Linked DNA regions of Stegostoma tigrinum. The protein of the gene in region 3 purifies or fractionates together with the protein of the main gene of each other region. This does not show direct contact. Links are inferred from orthologs where the notes say so. Each region holds a gene or a part of one and is shown on either strand. Other genes may lie near its edges. The genes, in order: wdr76, endog and dnaja2a.

Region 1 (3,750 bases), on a different chromosome or scaffold from region 3:
AAGGTTTCCTCATTCTGTCTTGCATTCTTTCATCAAGTACCTTGACGTCTCGGTTTATTGACATCCCTCCCACTGGAAACAGTTTTCCTTCATTTAGTCTACATCAGTCTTTGAGATGTGGTACACCACTATCCAGGACAGCAAACTGTCTGAAGCATTGCTCCAAATCCTAGAAAACCATTGGTCACCCAGGTGTGGTTTTGAGCAGTCATGCTGACTGAACCACTTCCTGAGAGACAATAAATCTTGTGTTTGATTGACTTAAATCATAAGCAGAACCAACTCAGCTCAACAGCCTGGTGATAAACAGCAATAATGAAACAGAGGATAGTGGCAGACGGTAGCTGGTCTTGAGCTGCTGCTGTCCATTAATTTACCTGCAGCATATTCAAAGATGCAAAGAACCGGGCATTTTCCTGAATGTTTTTCAGTCGCTTCTTCTCATACACTGACAGCTCCTCAGATTTTCGATGAAACTAAAACAAAAAACATAACATTGACAGGTACAAACTCCTCATTTGAATAGATTCCTGTGCACTCACTATCTCAACAATCTCGGTCCATCTGTTCAACAGCAACAACTCGGTGCCATTAGAGGGACAGTGGCAAGGAGTTGGAAAGCATGGTCCTCTCAGACAAAAGCAGTTGCTCTAAAGAGAAAGACAAAGATGCACTGCAGAAATACATTTGCACATCAATGAATTAACCTCTCAGTTTTCCCATTTATGGAAGCTGGTCAAACTTGGATCATCAGTTGTACACTTAAACAAGGCAAAGCAATTCACAATACGAAAACCCATAGTGTAATAGGAATAAAACAAAAGTCAGAAAGCTTAAAGACTTAAAAACAGAAATTGCTGGAGAAACTTGGCAGGTCTGGTGGCATATGTGGAGAGAAAGCACAGTTAATATTTCAGATCCAGGTACCCTTCTTCAGAAGTCAGATGCTGCCAGACCTGCCGAGTTTCTCCAGCTATTTGTTTTGGATTTCCAGCATCCCCTATTCTTTCAGTTTAAAGCCTTGTTTGATGTTACTCCAATTACCCCAAATAATGTAAAATCATAGAATCTAATGGCATAGGTGGTTATTTGGGACTTTGTACCTGAACAGACTCTTTGAATTATTAATTAGACTGAAGTAATTAGTTGAGTGATCAACTCTCAGGATATAAATAAGGAAGACTCGGCTCAGGTAGAGAAGCGGTTGTGTCTCTAGCTCTGTGTTAGAAAGTCCATAATAAAGCGCCATCTTCCCCAAACATGTTTCATAATAGGTTCGTACAGATTGCTTTAAAATATCTATAAACTATGGCACACTTTTCATTACAGATGGTTGGTTAATGGCAAACCACAGTGAAGCCCCTCTCCTCCCCACTGCTCTCACATGGACCGTGACCGCACTGCGCACAAACACTAAACATACAGGACCAGCACAGGTGGGAGCCTCCCGCTCGCTATCGGAGACAGAGTCCTGGGAGTCAACAAATCGTGACGACACGCAAAAATTATTGGTAAAATCTTATTAGATATTCGTCCCACTCATCATACTTGGACAATTAATTAATTGTCCAAGTACAAAAGTAACTTGCATTTGTATAAAAGGCCAGATGGACTTGGTTAAAGCTGTAGGTTGCTATTCAGTCTTAAAAAGTGGAGGTGAAAACACATATAGCTACAAGAGAGATGTTAAACTAACAGTTAACAACTTCTAATTTCTTACCGCCATAGGAAACTCATCGTCAGCGCTGAAGCCATCCGAGTCACTCTGCTCTGAGGTGCTCATGCCGGTCTCTGCAGGGCTTGTTGGCCCAGAAGAGGTGCCCTCCTCAGCGGCTGGCATTTGCTGCTGGTCAGGCCCGGCCGGGGTCATCGCCGTGTTTGATCGCCGGGGCGGGGGCTTCTTGTCCGGGTCCTCTCCTCCTCCGGGCCCGGGGAAGGCCGCTTCGAGCCGCCGCTTTCGGTTTCCCGAGGCCGCTGCTCGCGGCTGCTGCCCAAGTGCAGTGTCCTCAACCCTGGGCTTCATGGCCCGGAGGGAAATGCGGTCAATTTTCTGGTTTCAAATGGAAAAAAGTCGGCACCGAGCGGCCACTTCCGGGGGAGCTGTAACTTTTCAGTCCTTACATAAAATGTTACATAAATTGTTACATTTCCCGCGCTCCGCCTCCTGCTGCCGGAGATAGGACACTTTCACATCCGCCATCTTAGAAACCGCAATGCCTCCCGGGATACCTAGCTCACCTGAAAAGCGGCTGGAGAAGATTGAAACGACCAAACTCTGCAATTAACAGTGAAATAAAACAAAGAAGTGCGAATGAAGATCTGAAACAGAAACAAAACTTGTTTGAGAAACTCAGCAGGTGTGGCGGCATCTGTAGAGAGAAAGAGTTCGTGTTTCAAGTCCAGTGAGCCTTGTTTGGATCAGGCACGCACTGCCCCAAAAACCAATGGAAAGCAGGTTGTAAAGAAACTTTTACATAGAAATTACTTGATACGAAATAATTTGCACACTAGTTAAGAGAAAAAGGTAGTGAAACTTATCTGATAGCCCTTTTTAAGAGGCAGAACAAGGGATGATGTGAATCAGCTCCTTCTGTGCTTTTGTTGTTGTAGGATATTCTACATTGGTTGGGACAAATAAATCAATCCTCAACAACCCGTTTGTGTTCAATGTTTAAAATACAGTTGGGTAATGTTAGCTGTCACAAAGATAGCTAAAACTTCTAATTTTCAGAAAAACGTAATGTTATCATCCATTCTATTCAGTCTTGGTATTGAAGTGTAGTCACGAGTTATCTTTATTAAATTCATAAAGGGTTAATTTAGTTGTCTAAATCTGCGGTGCTTTGATTTGAGGATGATACTTACTCAAGGTTGCAGGTTTTTGTCATGAATCTTGGGTGAGACTGAGCAGGCCAATTCCGATGTTTGGGTGCAGAGCAAGATGTGCCACAGTAACAGAAGCACAGTTTCAGGATTTGCTCCCTTTTCTGTCATTCTCTGCCTTCAGTGTGTGTCATTTGGACTCACTTTCCTCTTAACATAAGTTGTAAAACTAGATGTAGGCCATTCAGCCCATTGGGTCCACTCCACAAATCAATGAAAACATGATTGTTCTGATAATCTTTACCTCCACTTTCTTGCCTTCTAGCCATAAATCTAGATGCCCCTAATGATTATAAAGCCGTCTCTCTCAGCCATGATCTATTTAGTGAAACATCTTCTACAGCACTGTGTGATAAAGAATTCCATTGATGCATTATCCTCCAAGAAAAAATCCTCATGTGCTAAATGGGCAATTCCTTACTCTCAAATCATGTGCTGTGTTCATAGAGTCCCTTATTAAGGGGAAACAGCCACTCAGCATCTAGTCTGTCATCTCCTAAGATTCTTGAGTTCCAATGAGGTATCCCCCTCAGTTTTCTACACCTAGTAAGTATAAGCCCAACCTACTTAACCTCTCCTCAAAATCCCTCTACCTGGCATCAAGTCGATTTTCTCCAGACAACCTCCACTGCTAGTATATCTTTCCTCAGATAAAAGACCCAAAACTGTTCACAGTATTCCAGCTATAGTCCAATGAGGTCAGAAATGGGGATGTTTGCTGGTGACCAAACACAAAAATTACACTTCTTTTCCCCTTTGAAATACAAATCACCATTACATTCACATTCCCTCTTCCCATTAGAAACTGGACGCTATCATTTTGAGATTCCCTTCCATGCTGAGCTTCCTCTAGTCTTTCACTTTTTT
Region 2 (3,750 bases), on a different chromosome or scaffold from region 3:
AAAATTATCCCTGGGCAATGTGCTGCTCTGCCTGTGATCGGCTAACTCAGGGTGGACCAGGAAATGACACAGGGACTGTGGAGACCAGAGAAACAGCTTCACCTCTAAGCCATATGAAGATTTTTGTTGAAATTTTCTGAATTAATGCCGAGTTTCAGTGATGGTTCTGACTTAACCTGACAGATAGATGGGTCATACCTTGGCAAGTATAGGGGTCCAGTGCAGACATACACATTCTTGTTGTACTTGGTCAGGCTCCTACAGTATTTCTCCAAGTTGTTCCAGGCATTTTGATTTAAATTAGGATCCTAGAAGTGAAAATAAAGCACAATAAGTACAAATTAGGAACAAAAACAAAGCTGCTGGAAAAGCTCAGAATGTCCGGCAGCATCAGTGAAGATAAAAACAGAGTTAACATTTTTTGTACTTCCTCAGAAGTACAAATTAATGCTGAAGTAAACATGATTTATAGACATACATTGCTTTGTAGTATAATGACAGGTTCTCATTACATCATAACATGATGCCAATGACATTGGGATAATATCCAGGTTGGGGCTGGCAAGTAACATTTGTGCCACACAAATGCCAGACAATGACCATCTTCAGCAAGAGAGAATTTAACCATCATCCCTTGACATTTAATGGCACTATTAACATCCTGGGGTGGAGCATTACCACTGATCAATAATTTAACTGGGCCGTCTACACAAACACTTTGTCTACAAAAACAGAACAGAACCTGGAAATTCTGATGCGAGTAACTCCCCTCCTGTCTCCCCAAATCCAGTCCACAAGGCACAAGTCGGGAGTGTGATGGAATACTCCCCAACTGCCTGGATGAGTCAAGCTCCAGCAATACTCAAGAAACCCAACACCATCCAGGACAAGTCAGCCCAGTACACTGGTACCCCATCCACCACCTTCAACTCTCACAACCAAAGCACAGTGTCAGCACAAGATGTACAGTAGTAGCTTACTAAGGCTCATCCAACAGCATTGTCCAAACTCACAACCACTTCTATCTAGAAGGACAAGAGCTGCAGATAGACAGGTGCACTTCTCCTGCACGCCAGTCACCGTCCTAACCTGGAAATATGATGCCTGTTCCTTAAGTGTTGCTGAGTCAAAGTCCTGGAACTCCCTCCTTAACAGTATTGCAAGGATCCCTACACCCCAAGGACTGCAGCGATTCAAAACAGCAGTTTGCTCCCACCTTCTCTACAGCAATTAGGAATGGGAAATAACTGCTGACCCTGTCAGCGATGCCCTCATCCCATGAATAAATTTTAAAAAAGACAATTAATCATTCCCTCCACTGATGCTGCCAGATATGCTGAGCTTTTGCAGCAATTTCCGGGGATTTGTTTTCATTTCTCATTCACAGCATCAGCAGTTTTTTTTTGGAATCCACCCTGGTAATTTCCCACAGCCCTGCAAAATCTTTCCGCTGCTTGGTGGCACAGTGGCCCAGTGGTTAGCACCACTGCTTCACAGCACCAGGGACCTGGGTTCGATTCCCGCCTCGAGCGACTGTCTGCGTGGAGTTTGCACATTCTCCCCGTGTCTGCGTGGGTTTCCTCCGGGTGCTCCGGTTTCCTCCCACAGTCCAAAGATGTGCTGGGTTCGCCATGTTAAATGTCCCCACAGTGTGCAGGTTAGGGTGGGCTGCCTGCACTATTCAGGGATGAGTGGTGTAGTGGGAACAGGGTCTGGGTGGGATGCTCTGAAGGTCAGTGTGGACTCGTGGGGCCGAAAGGCCTGTTTCTGCGCTGTGGAGATTCTATGACTTCTCCCACACACGTTCTAAGGAAGGGTTACCAGACCCGAAAGGTTAACTCTTATTTTTCCTTCACAGATGCTGCCAGACCCGCTGAGCTTTTCCAGCAACTTTGTTGTTGTTCCTGATTTACAGCATCCGCAGTTCTTTCGGATTTTATTCCCTGCCCCATTTACCAGTGGCACATGTCACTAGTTCAGAACCCGGGCACTTTCCAGGGGCAGCACAATGGCCTGAAATATAGAGACGGAAACCTGCGGCACCACGTTGCTGAGGTAGAAGGTGTCGTCCATGCACTTCTGGCTGTGGCGGTGGTTAGCGGCGGCGGCGAGGTGACCCCGGTCGAAGCCGCTGCCCTTGAAGTCGCTGTTGCGGGCCCGGTGATACTCGTGAACCGAGTCGTCCTCTCGGAACTCGCAGCGCCCGCGCTCCGAGCCCTTCCGCGCCAGGCGCCCGGCCTCCAGCTGCTCCAGGACCCAGGAGGCGTTCCGGGTCCGGGGGTCGTAGGCCAACACGTAGGACTCCCGGCTCCGGAGCTGGGACACCGCCGGGAAGCCGAACTTAACGACCTCCGGCGCCGCTGCCGAACCTGACAGCGCCGGGGGTCCGCTCTCGGCCGCCAAGCCCGGGATCACCGGGAAGCCGCTGAGCGGATCCACTCGGTTCCGGTGGATCCCGAGGGTCAGGCCCAGGCCAGTGCCAGCGGCCAAGGAGACTCCGGCCAGCAGCCAGCGGGAGCTCAGCAGCCTCCGCATGTCAGAGCCGAGGGGGAAATTGAAACCGCCCCGTGTATCAACTGGAACTTTGTTACTTTGTCGCCACAAGTTGCGCCCAAAATGTAACCAGGGCTGGGGCTAACGTGCACCAGCCACCCTCAGCTCAAAGGCAGAAATAACCCGTGAATGCTGGAAAGCAGATGCCAAAACATTTAGAAACATGCAGCAGGGCAGGCCCACAAACAAAAAATGTTGCTGGAAAAGCTCAGCAGCAGAAAACAGAGATAACACTTCGAGTGCGGTCACCCTTCCTCAGAACCGACTAGCAGTACAGGCACTTCAGCCCACAATGTTGTGCCGACCTGCTATCCTACTCTACAAACCTGCATACCTTACATTTTACTACCATCCAGGTGCCTGCCCAAGAGTCGCTTACATGTCCCTCGTGTACCTGACTCCACTACCACTGCCGGCAGTGCACTCCACACACGCACCACTCTCTGTATGAAGAACCTATCTCTGACATCCCTATCTATACCTTCCTCCAATCTCCTTAAAATTATGCCCCCTTGTAATACTCATTTTTGCCCGGGGAAAAGTCTCTGACTATCCACTCTATCTATGCCTGTCATCATCTTGTACACTTCGATCAAGCCACCTCTCATCCTTCGTCGCTCCAATGAAAAAAGCCCTAACTCACTCAATCTTTCCTCATAAGACCTGCCCTCCCATCCAGGCAACATCCTGGTAAATCTCCTCTGCACCCCCTCTAAAGCTTCCACATCCTTCCTATAATTAGGCAACCAGAACTGAACACAACAATCTATGTGTGGACTAACCAGGGTTTTATAGACCTGCAGCATAACCTCACGGCTCTTAAACTCAATTCCCCCGCCAATGAAAGCCAACACGCCATTCGCCTTCTTTACAACCCTATCAACTTGGTAGCAACTTTGAGGGATCTATGGACATGGACCCCAAGATCCCTCTGTTCCTGCTCCGAGAATCCTGCCATTAACCCTGTATTCTCCATTCAAATTTGACCTTCCAAAATGAATCACTTCACACTTTTCCAGATTGAATTCCATCTGTTACTTCTTTGCCCAGCTCTGCATCCTATAAATGTCCCAATGTAACCTACAACAGCCAGTCCACAACTCCACCAACCTTCATGTCATTGGCAAACTTACTAACCCATCCTTCCACCTCCTCATCCAAGTCATTTATAAAGATCACAAAGAACAGGGGTTCCAG
Region 3 (3,750 bases):
GATTTTTTTAAAAAAGTATACACTGTCACATTATTTTATTCCATCCTCTCTTTTTAAAAATAGAGACAAACAATGAAATGCATTCACAAATATGTTGAACTAAATTTAAATGTACAGCATGCAAATCTCTCCTTTTGCTTTGTTTCAAACCCTTCCAGCGCTACAAGCTTTAGTATACCGTAACAGTCCCAGACTCCGGGGCTTTGCACAAAAACAAATTTTTACAAGATAACTGACAGCAATGCGACTTAATGGCCATGGAGACCACAAGAGCAGCTCCTTAGACTAGGCCAGTCAAAGTCTCAAAGTAGTAAGCAGTAGCTCTTGCCAAATCCCCACACCCGCCCACCAAAACAAAATTGAATAAATCGTTTCACAATTAATTTGACATTTCCATGAATTAGTTAGGTCAGCACAAGAGCAGCCTCAAATTTTCAGGGCAACATTCAGCTGTCATTACTTAAGGTAACAAACTGCCATGACCTAATGTTCAATTGCCCTTTTGTTACTTTGAAATATATAGCACAGTAGCTCAGCACTTAGTATGGCAGCCTTACAGCACCAGGGATCCAGGTTCAATTCTACCCTTGGGTGACTGTATGGAGTTTGCACATTCTCCCCATGTCTGTGGGGTTTCCTCCAGGGGCTCTGGTTTCACCCCACAGTTCAAAGATATGCAAACTAGGTAGATTGGCCATGCTAAATTGCCCATTAAGCCCAGGGGTGTGCAGGTGAAGTAGGTTAGCCATGCGATATGCAGGGTTACAGGTAGGGAGATCAGTCTGGGCGGGATGCTATTTGGAGGGTTGGCGTGGTCTTGATGGGCTAAATGGCTGACTTCCACAGTGTAGGGATTCCATGATTCTAAATACCAATTCTGCATAGGACACTAAATGATTAAAGGATGCCCAAGGTAGGTTTTTCTTTCTTTCAAGAGCAAGGTACGAAATATACTCAAAACATCTCAGTTCAGAACGCAAGAAAGCTAATACCTGCAATTCCACGTTTCCAAACGATATGGAGACAGATCCAAACTATAAGAACGGCGAATGCTGTATATCCGAAACAAAAACAAATTGCTGAAGAAAGTCGACAGGGTGAAGAAAAGCTCACTGGATCCCAAACTTTAACTCGCCATTCGCGCCACACATGCCGCTGGGCCTGAGTTTCTTCAGCAATTTCTGTTTTTGTCCCAGACAGATCAATATGCGCGTAGTTTCCTAAACTCCCTCAGCTAACAGTAACGAAAATTACCGATCATCGCTTGGAGCAATATTATGATGTCTTTCAAATCATTCAAGAACATAATGACATATTTACACAACAAACGAAAGTGCGACTTCAAATACTGGTCTGCTCGGTTTGATCCACTTTGTATCTATGATTCACCTCGCAGAAATACAACTTACTTGCACTTGAGCTCTCCGGTCGCGACGGAAGACATTAACCAGAGCCTTTCTAGATCACAGCCCGGCTAATTTTATCAGCAACATTTCAAACACTTCCGCCGTCACCATCACTTCCCTCCTGAAAGGCCTCACTAATGTCCCAGGCGCTGCGGTAGCGGTCAAAGATAGGCCCCCGGTCGGGGGGAATGGTGGTTGCAGTAACACAAAATGGTGTCGCGGTCAATGAAGCGCCACCGGGTGTTTCCGAATCCCAGGCGTGCTACTGCTCGGAAGGGGAGGGGAAACGCTAGCGGACGCCGGTGACAGCAGCGCCGGCAATACCAACACCCAGACCACCCCCCCGCCCCACCTCCTTCACGGCTCGCTGACCCAACCCCCCCAACCACCTCTCCAATCCCTCAAAAGGGCGGCAGGTGAGGCGGCCCCGCTCTGCTGATAGCAACCACACCGAAAACGGCCAGATCCTTGGTTCATTCCTGTTAAATTCGCTGAACTTCGGTTTCTCCCCCAACTCCACTTCGTCTACCCACAACACACCAACAATCCAGGCAGCGGCCTAGCCGGTCAGGCTTCAGGCTGTGCGCTGTTTCCTTAAAATTTTGCCGAAAGGCACTGGCTAAGGAGGAGAGTATTGTTTTCCATCTCGATTCGTGCGTGTCACCGGCGGGCCGTGACTCACCTTTTTGAGTTCGTTTTCCGTAGCTCCGGAGCTAACTCCGAGGATGTCGTAAAGCTTTGTGTCCACTACCGACGCCATCGTGACAGAGAGGGAGGAAGAAGCTCGAGCACCGGCCGCAAGCTGGCAGGCTCCGGAAGTGACGTCTGACCCTGGCCTCACATAGAGCGCGCTGACGTCACCGCCGCGCGGCAAAGCGGGGGAGGGGGCGGGGCCTGGAGACGTTACGCCACAGACGCTAGAAGTCAGGGTCTATTGGTGTGATGCTTCAAAAGCGCAGCAGGTCCGGTAGTGTCTGAGAGGCAGCAAAGGCGAATGTGTGAACTGAAACCCTTCGTTCGAGACTGGGGTGGGGAGAGGGTGGCAGGTGGAATTTTTAAAAAAATTCATTCACAGAATGAGGGTATCGCTGGTTAGGCAGTATTTATTGCCCACTCCTAATTGCCTAGAAGGCGGTCAAGAGTCAACCGCATTGCTGTGGTCTAGAGTCACGTGTAGGCCAGACCAGGTAAGGATGGCAGTTTCCAGATGTGTTTTTCCTGACTATCAGCAATGGATTCATGGTCATCATTAGACTCTTAATTCCAGAATTTTTTTTTTATTGAAGTCAAGTTCCACCAACTGCCCTGGTGGGACTTGAACCCTGATCCATTATCTGGGTCTCTGGATTAACAGTCCAGCAATAATACTACTAGGCCATTGTTTCCCCAGTACGACAGGTAGTGGGTTACAGTGATTGGTCAATGTGAAGGGTGAAGTGTTTAGGTGAGTAGGAAGATGGTCAGGTCAGGGAGGTGAGGAGGAGGGCTAGGACATGGGATAAGGCTGGGAGATAGATGGACTTTGAAGGTGGTGAAGTCAATGCTGAGGCCTCACGGTGACCTATGTTTGGTGTGCAATAACTGCACCTCCCAGTTGTGAACCATTTCAACTCCCTCTTGCATACTGAGATGACATGTCCATCCTGGGCCTCCTGCAGTGCTACAACGATGCTGCCTGAAGATTGCAGGAACAGCAACTCATATTCCACCTGGGAACCCTGCAAACCAATAGTATCAATGTGGATTTCACAAGCTTCAAAATCTCCCCCCCGGCATCCCAAAACCAGCCCAGCTCGTCCCTGCCCCCCCCCCCCCAACCTGTTCTTCCTCTCACTTATCCCCTCCTCCCACCTCAAACCACACCTTCATTTCTTTCTTACTAACCTCATCCTGCCCCCTTGACCTGCCCGTCCTCCCCAGACTGTCCTATCCCCTCCCTACCTCTCCACCTACATTCCACTCTATAGGTGCCATCCCTGCCCCTTTAACTTGTCTGCTTTTTCTCCTCTATCCATCTTCGATCTGCCTCCCCCCTCTCTATTTCAGAACCCCCTCGCCATCCTCCTTTTCTGATGTAGGGTCTAGGCTGGAAATGTCAGCTTTTGTGCTCCTAAGATGCTGCTTGGCCTGCTGTGTTCATCCAGCTCTACACTTTATTATCTCAATGCTGAGGCCATTGGGCTTTAAGCTCCCAAGGTGAAATATCAGGTGTTGTCCCTCCAGTTTGGTTTTTGACCTCTCTCTGACAGTGGAGAGAGCCAAGGTGGATATCTCTAAGGGGACTGGGAGTGGGAATTAACGTGGATGGCAACAGGAAGGTCGACTTGGTTGATGCATTCAGAGT

The links.
Region 1: the proteins of dnaja2a (region 3) and wdr76 purify together in Homo sapiens (affinity purification with mass spectrometry; 3 studies listed by BioGRID and IntAct, with this or other methods). This does not show direct contact. The link is inferred for Stegostoma tigrinum from reciprocal best matches to the Homo sapiens genes DNAJA2 and WDR76.
Region 2: the proteins of dnaja2a (region 3) and endog purify together in Homo sapiens (affinity purification with mass spectrometry; 3 studies listed by BioGRID and IntAct, with this or other methods). This does not show direct contact. The link is inferred for Stegostoma tigrinum from reciprocal best matches to the Homo sapiens genes DNAJA2 and ENDOG.

Annotation. Positions count from the first base shown.
Region 1 is NC_081386.1:34,103,868-34,107,617, forward strand, and holds the start of wdr76 (WD repeat-containing protein 76), read right to left. Parts: upstream 2,230-3,750; 5' UTR 2,024-2,229; coding exon 1,721-2,023; intron 477-1,720; coding exon 378-476; intron 1-377. UniProt on the Homo sapiens protein: Specifically binds 5-hydroxymethylcytosine (5hmC), suggesting that it acts as a specific reader of 5hmC.
Region 2 is NC_081382.1:42,357,218-42,360,967, reverse strand, and holds the start of endog (endonuclease G, mitochondrial), read right to left. Parts: upstream 2,793-3,750; 5' UTR 2,536-2,792; coding exon 2,035-2,535; intron 309-2,034; coding exon 199-308; intron 1-198. UniProt on the Homo sapiens protein: Endonuclease that preferentially catalyzes the cleavage of double-stranded 5-hydroxymethylcytosine (5hmC)-modified DNA.
Region 3 is NC_081369.1:30,468,425-30,472,174, reverse strand, and holds the start of dnaja2a (dnaJ homolog subfamily A member 2a), read right to left. Parts: upstream 2,233-3,750; 5' UTR 2,167-2,232; coding exon 2,089-2,166; intron 1-2,088. UniProt on the Homo sapiens protein: Co-chaperone of Hsc70. Stimulates ATP hydrolysis and the folding of unfolded proteins mediated by HSPA1A/B (in vitro).